Drosophila melanogaster: one gene and its partner. The protein of the gene in region 1 binds, or shares a complex with, the protein of each later gene. Each region holds a gene or a part of one and is shown in the gene's direction. Other genes may lie near its edges.

Evidence for each region.
Region 2: eIF3a (region 1) and eIF3j share a complex: the UniProt entries of both Drosophila melanogaster proteins name them as parts of the eukaryotic translation initiation factor 3 (eIF-3) complex.

The regions. Positions count from the first base shown.
Region 1 is NT_033777.3:4,429,254-4,435,428, reverse strand, and holds eIF3a (eukaryotic translation initiation factor 3 subunit a), read left to right. Parts: upstream 1-1,533; 5' UTR 1,534-1,681; coding exon 1,682-1,730; intron 1,731-1,827; coding exon 1,828-2,912; intron 2,913-2,962; coding exon 2,963-5,201; intron 5,202-5,260; coding exon 5,261-5,310; 3' UTR 5,311-5,631; downstream 5,632-6,175. Other genes in the region: CG1074 (uncharacterized protein), read right to left, coding at 1-774, 1,243-1,368. UniProt on the Drosophila melanogaster protein: RNA-binding component of the eukaryotic translation initiation factor 3 (eIF-3) complex, which is involved in protein synthesis of a specialized repertoire of mRNAs and, together with other initiation factors, stimulates binding of mRNA and methionyl-tRNAi to the 40S ribosome.
Region 2 is NT_033778.4:9,967,404-9,971,460, forward strand, and holds eIF3j (eukaryotic translation initiation factor 3 subunit j), read left to right. Parts: upstream 1-1,525; 5' UTR 1,526-1,816; coding exon 1,817-1,832; intron 1,833-2,057; coding exon 2,058-2,149; intron 2,150-2,337; coding exon 2,338-2,451; intron 2,452-2,515; coding exon 2,516-2,804; intron 2,805-2,868; coding exon 2,869-3,005; intron 3,006-3,070; coding exon 3,071-3,133; 3' UTR 3,134-3,494; downstream 3,495-4,057. Other genes in the region: CG12133 (uncharacterized protein), read left to right, coding at 1-409, 474-948; CG12134 (uncharacterized protein), read left to right, coding at 3,991-4,018. UniProt on the Drosophila melanogaster protein: Component of the eukaryotic translation initiation factor 3 (eIF-3) complex, which is involved in protein synthesis of a specialized repertoire of mRNAs and, together with other initiation factors, stimulates binding of mRNA and methionyl-tRNAi to the 40S ribosome.

The DNA.
Region 1 (6,175 bases):
CGAGATGCGGGAATGCCACACCGGGTTGGAGAAATCGGCCACCACCACATCCATGTAGCGATCAGCGCAGCCGTACTGCTTCAAGTTGGCCCGAATGCTCTCGTCCTTCTCCCGCACTTTTTGGGTTATCCGGCTCGGCCGGCAGCGGGCGTGCACCATCATGTAGTCTATGTCCGCTCCCAGGACATACCCGCCCCACTTGGCGGCGCTTACCAAAAGCGAGCCCGTTCCCACAAACGGATCAAATACCAGATCCCCATTGCGTACCATCGCTTGGTTGGCCATTAGCAGGCTCAGCTGGGCGTCCATGCTGGTGTTACCGATAAACTTACGATGCTTCAGCGAAAGCTCCTTGATCAAATGCCGCTGACCATGGGCCATCAGCCGACCAAACAGAATGTCCTCCGGCTCAGGTGGCACAGCCGTTGGATCCAAGCCCCAAAACTCGATGTACCACCACTCCACCACGGGTTTCTCCAGATTGACCGTTCCCTCTATTGGCAGGTAATCCATGGACTCGATTTTCTCAACCTTTTCCCTCTGGCTGAAGTGCTTGTTGTAGGTCTCCACAACGATCTTAAAACTGGCATCCACCCGAAAGTATTCCGCAAGCGAATGCCAGTTCGCGGTAACATGATTCCGTAGCCTCTGGTGAAACTCGGGTAATTTGTTGGAGTGGGCGTAGAGCTCGAACATGGCGCGCAACGAAACGGACCTGGATGCATATAGCAACGCAGTATCCGTGTCCCGAAATTCGACCAACCAAAATGGTTTCTGTAATACCGAAATTAAAAAATATAAATATAACTATATATGCTGATGCTTCTATACTACAGAAGTATTTATATATGTGTCGCAAGCTCTAAAAATAATGTAATCAAAGTATCCTACACTAAAAACATCTAACAGGTACGCGGATCGTATTCGTAATGTATGTATACCAGGTATCAGGTATCCTTTCGAAACCTTTTAGGTTTTGTAGTTCCTGAGATCTCAACGATCGTATATAATTTATAGCTAGTAATGCTAAATTTCTACCTGTTGAAAACACTTTTGAAAATATAGTTTACTATTTTCTTCCTCTTACAAATACATATAAAATTTTTTTACGTTAAAAATATTAAACATATTAATAAAATTCCAAGTTTGGATATAACATTAAACCACAGGTTTTAAAAGTTATAGGGGAGGTGGAATTTGTTAATCTTGCGTTTTCAAAATTCTGGTACTAAAACACTTTACCCTGGTGTGTTCTGTAAGCCGCCGGACCTGAAGTCCAAACATTTTGACCAGCGAATCAAACTCCTGCACGCGAAAGTCGACATGCTCCTGGGCGAACCACAAGATAAACTTCCTCCAGTTGACCATGTCGCTATTTTAATTAATGAATTGTTTATTTATATTCTAGAGCGACTTCATTACTCCTCGTGTTATTGCTGTGAGCTAGCGGAGTTGCACTGCGATTAGCTGACCATCGGCAACTATCGGCCTGAACTATCGATAACGCAGCCAGGTGTAGCCCTGCGTGCCGTCGACTCGGCCATTTTGCATTAATATTGCAGCCACACGTAGGCGAGCCGAAGATTTATACAATTTTCAGCAGCCCCAGGTCTCAAAACGCTCCAGACCTGCTATCAAAATCAACTTGAAGTGCCGCCGCAAGTAAGTAAAGCGATCGGAAATGGCCCGCTATACGCAACGTCCGGAAAACGCCCTAAAAAGGGCTAATGGTGAGTGCTGAAAATTTTCCATGCGGTGTCTGAAGAGAAACTTTCGTCTTCGCGAATCGTGTGCTCTCTTAACTCGACGCCGCTCTCTTCGTCACAGAGTTCATTGAAGTGGGAAAGCCGCTTAGGGCGCTGGACACGCTGCAGGAAGTTTTCCGGAACAAGCGATGGAACTATGCCTACTCGGAGACGGTCATCGAACCGCTCATGTTCAAGTACCTGTACCTCTGCGTGGAACTCAAGAAGTCGCACATCGCCAAGGAGGGACTATTCCAGTACCGGAACATGTTCCAGCTGGTGAACGTGAACTCTCTGGAAAATGTAATCCGCGGCTACCTGAAAATGGCCGAAGAGCACACAGAGGCTGCCCAAGCCCAGTCCTCGGCGGCCGTTGCTGTTCTGGAGCTGGATGACCTGGACAACATTGCCACGCCAGAGAGCATCCTAATGAGCGCAGTGTGTGGCGAGGACGCACAGGACCGCTCCGACCGCACTATTCTGCTCCCGTGGGTCAAGTTCCTGTGGGAGTCCTACTGCCAGTGTCTAGAGCTGCTGCGCGTAAACACGCATTGCGAGGCGCTGTACCACGATATCGCTCGCATGGCCTTCCAGTTCTGCCTTAAGTACAACCGCAAGAGCGAGTTTCGCCGCTTGTGCGACAAGCTGCGCAAACACTTGGAGGACATTTGCAAGAGCAGCAACCAGACCACCGGTGTCTCGATCAACAAGGTGGAAACGCAGCAGCTCTGCTTGGACACCAGGTTGTACCTTCTTGACTCGGCCATCCAGATGGAGCTGTGGCAAGAGGCCTACAAGGCAATCGAGGATATCCATGGCCTGATGGCTCTGTCCAAGAAGACACCCGTGCCCAAAACCATGGCCAACTACTACCAAAAATTAGCCATGGTCTTTAGCAAGGCCGGCAACCAGTTGTTCCACGCTGCAGCGCTGCTGAAGCTCTTCCAGCTGACGCGCGAGCTGAAGAAGAACCTGACGAAGGACGACTTGCAGCGTATGGCTGCCCACGTTCTCCTGGCCACTCTTTCTATTCCGTTGCCTTCGGCCCATCCAGAGTTCGACAGGTTTATTGAGGCGGACAAGAGCCCCCTGGAGAAGGCGCAGAAGTTGGCCGTGCTTTTGGGCCTGCCCCAGCCACCTACTCGCGTCTCCCTTATTCGTGAAGTGGTAAGTATCACGCAATATAGTAATGACTTATGACTAATTCATAAACACAGGTGCGCTTGAATGTTCCTCAACTCGTATCTGAGGACTTTCGCAATCTATACAACTGGTTGGAGGTGGATTTCAACCCACTGAATCTGTGCAAGCGCATTCAGTCTATCGTGGACTTCATTGAGAACGGGCCCGAAAACGCTCTGCTCACTCCTTACATTCAATCGCTGAAGGACGTGACTATAATGCGTCTGATTCGTCAGATCTCTCAGGTTTATGAGAGTATTAAGTTCCAGCGTCTCTTGCAGCTGGCCAGTTTTTGCAACATTTTTGAATTGGAAAAACTGCTGGTCGAGTCCGTGCGTCACAATGACATGCAGATTCGTATTGACCACCAGAAGAACAGTATCTATTTCGGCACTGATCTGACCGAGAGTCAACGCGAGTACCGCCCCGACGGACCCGCTTTGCAATCGATGCCCTCGGAACAGATCCGCTCTCAGTTGGTTAATATGTCTACTGTTCTGACACGGGCAGTTTCAATCGTCTACCCGAACCGTGAACGTGACCAGCGGGCCAAGCTCCGCAACCAGATGGTAAACCATTACCATGAGATCAAGGATCGCGAGCACCAGCGTATTCTTCAGCGACAGAAGATCATCGAGGACAGAAAGGAGTACATCGAGAAGCAGAATAATGCTCGTGAAGAGGAAGAGGCGCGGCGTCAGGAGGAGGAATCGCGGAAGGCCAAACTGGCCGAACAGAAGCGCCTCGAGCAGGAGCAAGAAGAAAGAGAGCGCAAGCGCCATCAGAACGAAATCCAAGCCATCCGGGAGAAGAGTCTCAAGGAGAAGGTTCAGCAAATCTCGCAGACGGCTCATGGTAAGAAGATGCTTTCCAAGCTGGATGAGGAAGGCATTAAGAAGTTGGACGCCGAGCAGATCGCCAAGCGGGAAAGCGAGGAACTTCAGCGCGAGGCCAAGGAACTGCAGTCGAAACTCAAATCGCAAGAGAAGAAAATCGACTACTTCGAACGCGCCAAGCGCCTGGAGGAGATACCGCTTTTCGAAAAATACTTGGCCGAAAAGCAGGTTAAGGACAAGGAGTTCTGGGAAGCAACCGAGAAGACACGCATCGAGAATGCCATTGCCGAACGGAAGGATGCCGTCGCCCAGCAGGAGCGTCTCAAGCGCATGTATCCGGACCGGGATGAATTCCTTGAGGCCCTTAAAAAAGAACGTGCCTCCCTCTACGTCGAAAAGCTCAAAAAGTTTGAGGCTGCTCTGGAGGCAGAGCGCAAAAAGCGCTTAGCCGACCGCATTATTCGACGCCGCGAGGAGCGCCGACAGGCCTTCCTTCGCGAGAAAGAGGAGGAGCGTCTTCGCAAGGAGGAAGAGATTCGCTTGGCACAGGCTGCCGAAGAGCGCGCCGCAGCAGAAGCCCGCCGTTTGGAGCGTGAGGCTGAGGACGAAAAGCGTCGTGCCCAATACGAAAAGCAGCGTGCCAAGGAGGAGGAAGCTGAGCGTAAAATCAAGGAAGATCGAGACCGCCTGTCCAGGGAGTTGGCCTCGGAGCGCGAACGCACTGAAAAGGACCGTGACACATGGCGTCCTCGAGGCGGTGACCGTCCAAGCGCATCTAACGGCGGATCCAGCGAGTGGCGTCGTGCTGCACCTGCGGCCAGTGAACGCAACGACCGTGGTGGCGAGCGTATCGAGCGCGGAGGAGAACGGATCGAGCGCGGTGGAGAACGCCTCGAGCGTGGTGGAGAGCGCATTGAACGAGGCGGTGACCGTGACCGCAAGGACAACGAGGGAGCGGACTCCTCTTGGCGTGTGCGACGAGAGCCAGATTCACAGCGTGCAGCTGCTCCCAAAGACAGTGGCGCTCCGCAATCGCGCGATGACAAGTGGCGGCGTGGCGGAGAACGTGACCGCGATTTCCGCATTGATGGGGCTCGTCGCGACAGGGATGATGGGCCTCGGCGTGACCGTGACGATGGTCCTCGCCGGGATCGTGACGATGAGCGCGGTGGATTCCGCCGCGCCGACGGGGCGCGTCGTACCGACGAGCCTCAGCGGGAAACTGGAGGGAACTGGCGCGACGCTCCACGCCACGCTGATCGGGAAACCCGTCGCCCAGCTGAGAGGCGCGACCGAGATGTGCGCGAGACTCGTGGCGATCAACGCGGCTCTGCTCCTAAGGAGGCAGCCAGTGGCGGAGTAGGCGGAAACTGGCGTACTGCTCCTGCGACCCGTGAGGAAAAACCAGCAGCTAAGCGCGATCAAGCCCAGGAAAAGGGTAAGTAATCTCAGCAGCAAACCTAATTTCCATTCTTATCAATGCGTTACATCTTTCAGAGAACAAAGCTGGCGATGATGGCGAGTGGACCAGCGTTAAGCGTCGTTAATTTTTATTTTCATCATCGTATATACCCAGCATAATATTCTTAATAAGTTTTTATTTCATCCGACTTGTACTTTATTGGTGTAGAGCTCAGTCGGCCGGTATATTATATCTATCTATCCAAAGCTTGTGCCAGATAGTTAAAATTGAGATGGTTGTAGGACCGATACTAATTAAAGTACTTTCGAATAAAATAACTATGTTCTAAAAAATTGAAAAGTGAAATTGTCGAATGAGAACCTTGGGAATCAAAGAAATGAAAAGTGGTTATTATTGGTTTAATTCAAAAATTCTAATTCTTATTTATCAGATTTCAGGATGAACCAAGCTTCCCTTATACGTACAGTGATTTATAAACCAGTCCCTTTAAATTTATATTTCGACAGAGCTAAAACTACATTAAAATGTAGTTTGCAAACTAAACAAATGCGGGTTCTTCTATAGTTTTACAAAGTTCGTTCTTGGAAGCGTGGCTTTTTAACATTAGGTTTTTTAATTGCCCATAAATAAAAAATGCATTCAAAAGTATTGTAAATTGTATTATCACATACGCTTGACTTATTTTAAAAAAGTGACATCTTTCTTAGGTAAAACCATATTCGTTGGGAATAAATTCGAGTAAATTTAGAAAAGCTTTTATAGCAAGCAAAACAAAAATATTCTGCCTCTGAAAATTTGCCTCGATAATATGAGCCCGCGCCTTCTTCGCACACTCAACTAGTATTTTCTTGCGAACTTGGCACTAATGCCATGGCCTCGCGGATCCTCCGCGGTGCGCGCCCCTGGTCACACTGTCTGTGCCGCTGCCGCGAATCTCGGTCCACGTGAACAAATTTTGGACAATGTGCTATACGGTACTCATGAGATAA
Region 2 (4,057 bases), on another chromosome or scaffold:
TACCAGATAGCAGGGTCTGCGGACAGAGTCCTCCTTCGTCATATATCGTAGGCGGCATGGAGGCACAGTCCAACCAGTTTCCCTGGACAGTCCTGCTGGGTTACGAAGCCTACACAGCAAAGCAGCGACCGTCTCCCATGTGTGCGGGCTCCTTGATCGCCAGTCGCTATGTGCTGACGGCAGCCCATTGTTTGAATGTGAATGACTTCTACGTGGCACGTGTGCGCCTGGGCGAGCATGACACCGAGAACGATCCCGACTACACCTGGCTGCCGAATGGAGCCAAGATATGGGCTCCAGCGCACGTGGACATCGATGTGGATCTGAGGGTTCCGCACGAGCAGTACTACACGAGAAATGGAAGACACTACAACGACATTGCTCTGTTGCGTCTGAAGAGTCGGGTGAAGTAAGTAGTGTGCTCTTTGGGGTTCCCTCTTTTCACATTTTCCCATCGATGTCCTCTCTTTCAGATACACTCTTCAGATCAGACCCATTTGCATTTGGCCTGGCATTGAATTGTCAACTTCCTCCTTCAAAAACTTCCCTTTTCAAATTGCCGGCTGGGGCGATTCGGGTCTGCAGCAAAAAAGCACCGTACTTCGCCAAGGCACCATCAGTGGAATGAGTCCGGATGAATGCTTGAATCGGTATCCAACACTGCTCGTCGATAAGGACATCCAGATATGTGCCATGGGATGGGATGGCACCGACACCGGACTGGGAGATTCCGGTAGCCCGCTGATGGCTTCGGTGGGCAGGGGTGCTGATCAATTTTATTACCTAGCCGGAATAACGTCCTACGGAGGGGGACCCTCCAGTTACGGATATGGGCCAGCGGTTTACACGAAAACTTCCTCATATTATGAGTGGATAAAGAAGAAAATCAATGATATCGCTGAAGATGAACGTAAAATGAAATACAAATCTGTAAGAATACCAATTTAATTTAACGTTATTAAAATGATACTTTTTATGCATGCAGAAATGGATGTTGTTCTTTGTTAACAAAATCGCCAAAACAGTCAAGTAAAGAAAGTACACAATTATCTTTAAAACCGTTCTTGGGACAAAAAGCCACATTTAACATGATTATGTTAAAAACAGATGTAACCATTGAGAATTGCAGACGTTTGACATAATTCACATTTTGCAAACAAATCCAGATCTTAACTAGACCAATTCTAACTCCAATAAGGATGACTTAGCCTCTCAATCGAAAGAATTCCTCGACTATAAGATAGCCTTAGTCAGCAATTGGGGAGTTCGAGGTATATAACGACACAGCTAGTTCTTCTTATCAAGAACATGCTTATGTATGTATATACTCTCTACTATATATAATTTATCGAGTCGAATCAATTTTCCTTATAACTCTAAGAGTAAGTTTCTTAGAACACCACGAAGAGGGAGATTTATCACGAATTTTTTTTGAAAAAAACTTGTAGGGTAACTCAAATCTTTAAAAACTTAAAGATTTCTTAACAAAGTTGACAAATTTGTGTTTGAAAATAAAATAAGCAATCTTACAATCAAGAAAGGAAAAAAATGAAAAATGAAATATTGTAGGGTAACAAATTTCAAATTGTCGATAACTTGATATCACCTTGGCCGCACTACGAATATTCGATGGCAACAGACTATCGGCGACGTTACCCACGCATTTTCCGCTAGTCGCGCCTTGGGCACACTACAGATCCACAGAAATTTGGTTTTGGAAAATTCCTGAAATCGCTGCCGAGGCTGGAAACAAGTCGATCCCAGCACCATCCCATCCAGAAGCACAAATCCCGCAAGCAAATAGGCAACCATTAACATGGCCGACGATTGGGGTAAGTTGCGATTGGCCTGGGCGGAAGAGTGGGCGGTGCGTCATCTGCACGGCGGACAATAAACGTGGTCTCCGTCGTTGTTGTTGTTGTTGCTGCTGCTATTGCTGTTGTTGTTGGAGTGCCGTGCAACCAGCCTTGATGAGTATTTTTAGCCACTGTGCCAACTAACCGTTTGAAATCATTGTTATTCACCATGTTCCTGGAACTCATTCTGTTACCTGGCAGAATCCGCAGCAGACAGCGAGGTGGTCATCCGGCCGACTGCCGCCGCCAGCGTAAACAAGTGGGAGGGCGAGGACGAGGATGAGGACATCAAGGTGCGACTAACGAAATCCAAGTGAGATCGAAAGCAGTGCCGCATTCAAACCAACTATCCAAGTGCCCAACAACAAATGCCATGGGCCAAAACTTGTTTTTCTGCACTCGGTTTCACTTTCGTTTCGCTGTACACGTGTGCACTTTTGCAGCAGACTGATCGAATCATTTGTTTATTTGCTGCCCACAGGACAGCTGGGAGGATGAGGAGGAAAAAAAGGACGAGGAGAAGCCTACGAAAACAGAAGCACCAGCCAAACCGAAGCCAAATAAGGCGCTAAAAGCCAAACTGGAACAGCAGGCGGTGAGATAAGGCTCAAAAGCATTTCTCAATCATTGGCTATATTGTTATCATCTGTTATTAACAGCTCCTAGAGGAGGAAGCGGAGGCAAAACGTTTGGCCAACCTATCGCCTGCAGAAAAGTTGGCTGAGAAGCTGCGATTGCAAAAAATCCAGGAGGCCTCTGATCTCAAGCATGCCCAGGAAGCGTTCGGTGTGACGAGTACGTGCGGAGGTCTTGACGCCTTCAACCCCGAGACCAAGGAGGAGTTCAAGGAATTTGGCGCAACGCTCAGCTGGAAGGTGGGCCAATTCCGCGAGTCGGAGCACTTCCCCCAATTTGTTGAGGATCTGGTGCGCAGCCTATGCGTGAATCGTGAGTGATTAGCTGGCTGACAATTAAAGACGGCTTATCTGATTTGATTTCGCACCTTATCTAGTGAGCGCTGCTGACATCAAAAAGGTCAAGATGAACGTGGAAATCTTGCACTCGGAAAAGCTGAAGCTGGAAAAGGCCAATGCTAAAAAGCCCGCTGGAAAGGGCAAGGGCAAGGTCACTCTCCGCACCGAAAACGACGTGAGTGTTTCAATCGCCGCCGTTCGAGATCAACGAATGAACTTATTTAATCCGCTCTTTTGCAGGACATTGACGGTTACCAAAAGTACGGAAATGACTTCACCGAAGACTATGACGACTTCATGTGAATAGGATCTATAAATGTAGCCCGCATATATCTAATTATTGAATGCATAGTTGCTTGTTGAAGAGTTCTTCTTGTTAGAGATGCTGCGCAGGAATAAGAGTCCTTTGTTAAATATAAAATGGCAGAACCTATATAAATATGTAAATATATATTTATATAACCATACATAACACAAAACGAGTTACATAGTCAAGTCAGGCAATCAAGAAACCTCAACGAACACGCAAATCCAACTCCAAACCGAAAGAATATTTAGGCAACTGACTTATGGCGACAGCACATGTATGTAGGTCGTATTCGGAACGGCTTCTTGTGAAATTCATTTTTGTATAAAGAATAAAACTACAGATCGATATTAAACGAAAACAAAGAAATCTTGCTTATTGTGCTGTATGGGTGGGTGTGTGGTACGGGTGTACAAGTATGATGGTGGAACTGTTGATGATTGACAATTGAGTTAATTATAGGTAGCCGCTTTTATCTTACCATTACCATGAACTTTTCAAAGGAACCATAATTTTTAATTTATTTAAAACGATCACAATGCGCGCCGTAATTTGAAGGCGCTTCACTGTGAACGGCTTTGTTTGCATAGCCAAGAAGAAGCATCGCAAGGTGTGGTGTGTGACTTGGCTTCAAAATCATATTATTGAAGTAGTTAAAAATAAATTCAGTTGTCGAATAAGTGGATTTCGTCATAAAAGAAAGAGTGCTGACGCATTTGAAGTGCACTCTTATCCCTTTCAACTCGTCTATTAAGTATTCAATGTGTCTTCAGCCCAAGTTAGCTTAAATCTAGCTGAATAGTCAGCACTGTCGTCATTTAATGCACGTGCGGCAAATTAAAAATAGACAAGAATGAGCGACTTTAACAAATATTGCGAAGGTTTTATTAGCTATAAGCCTGCCAAGACGGCCTGATTAA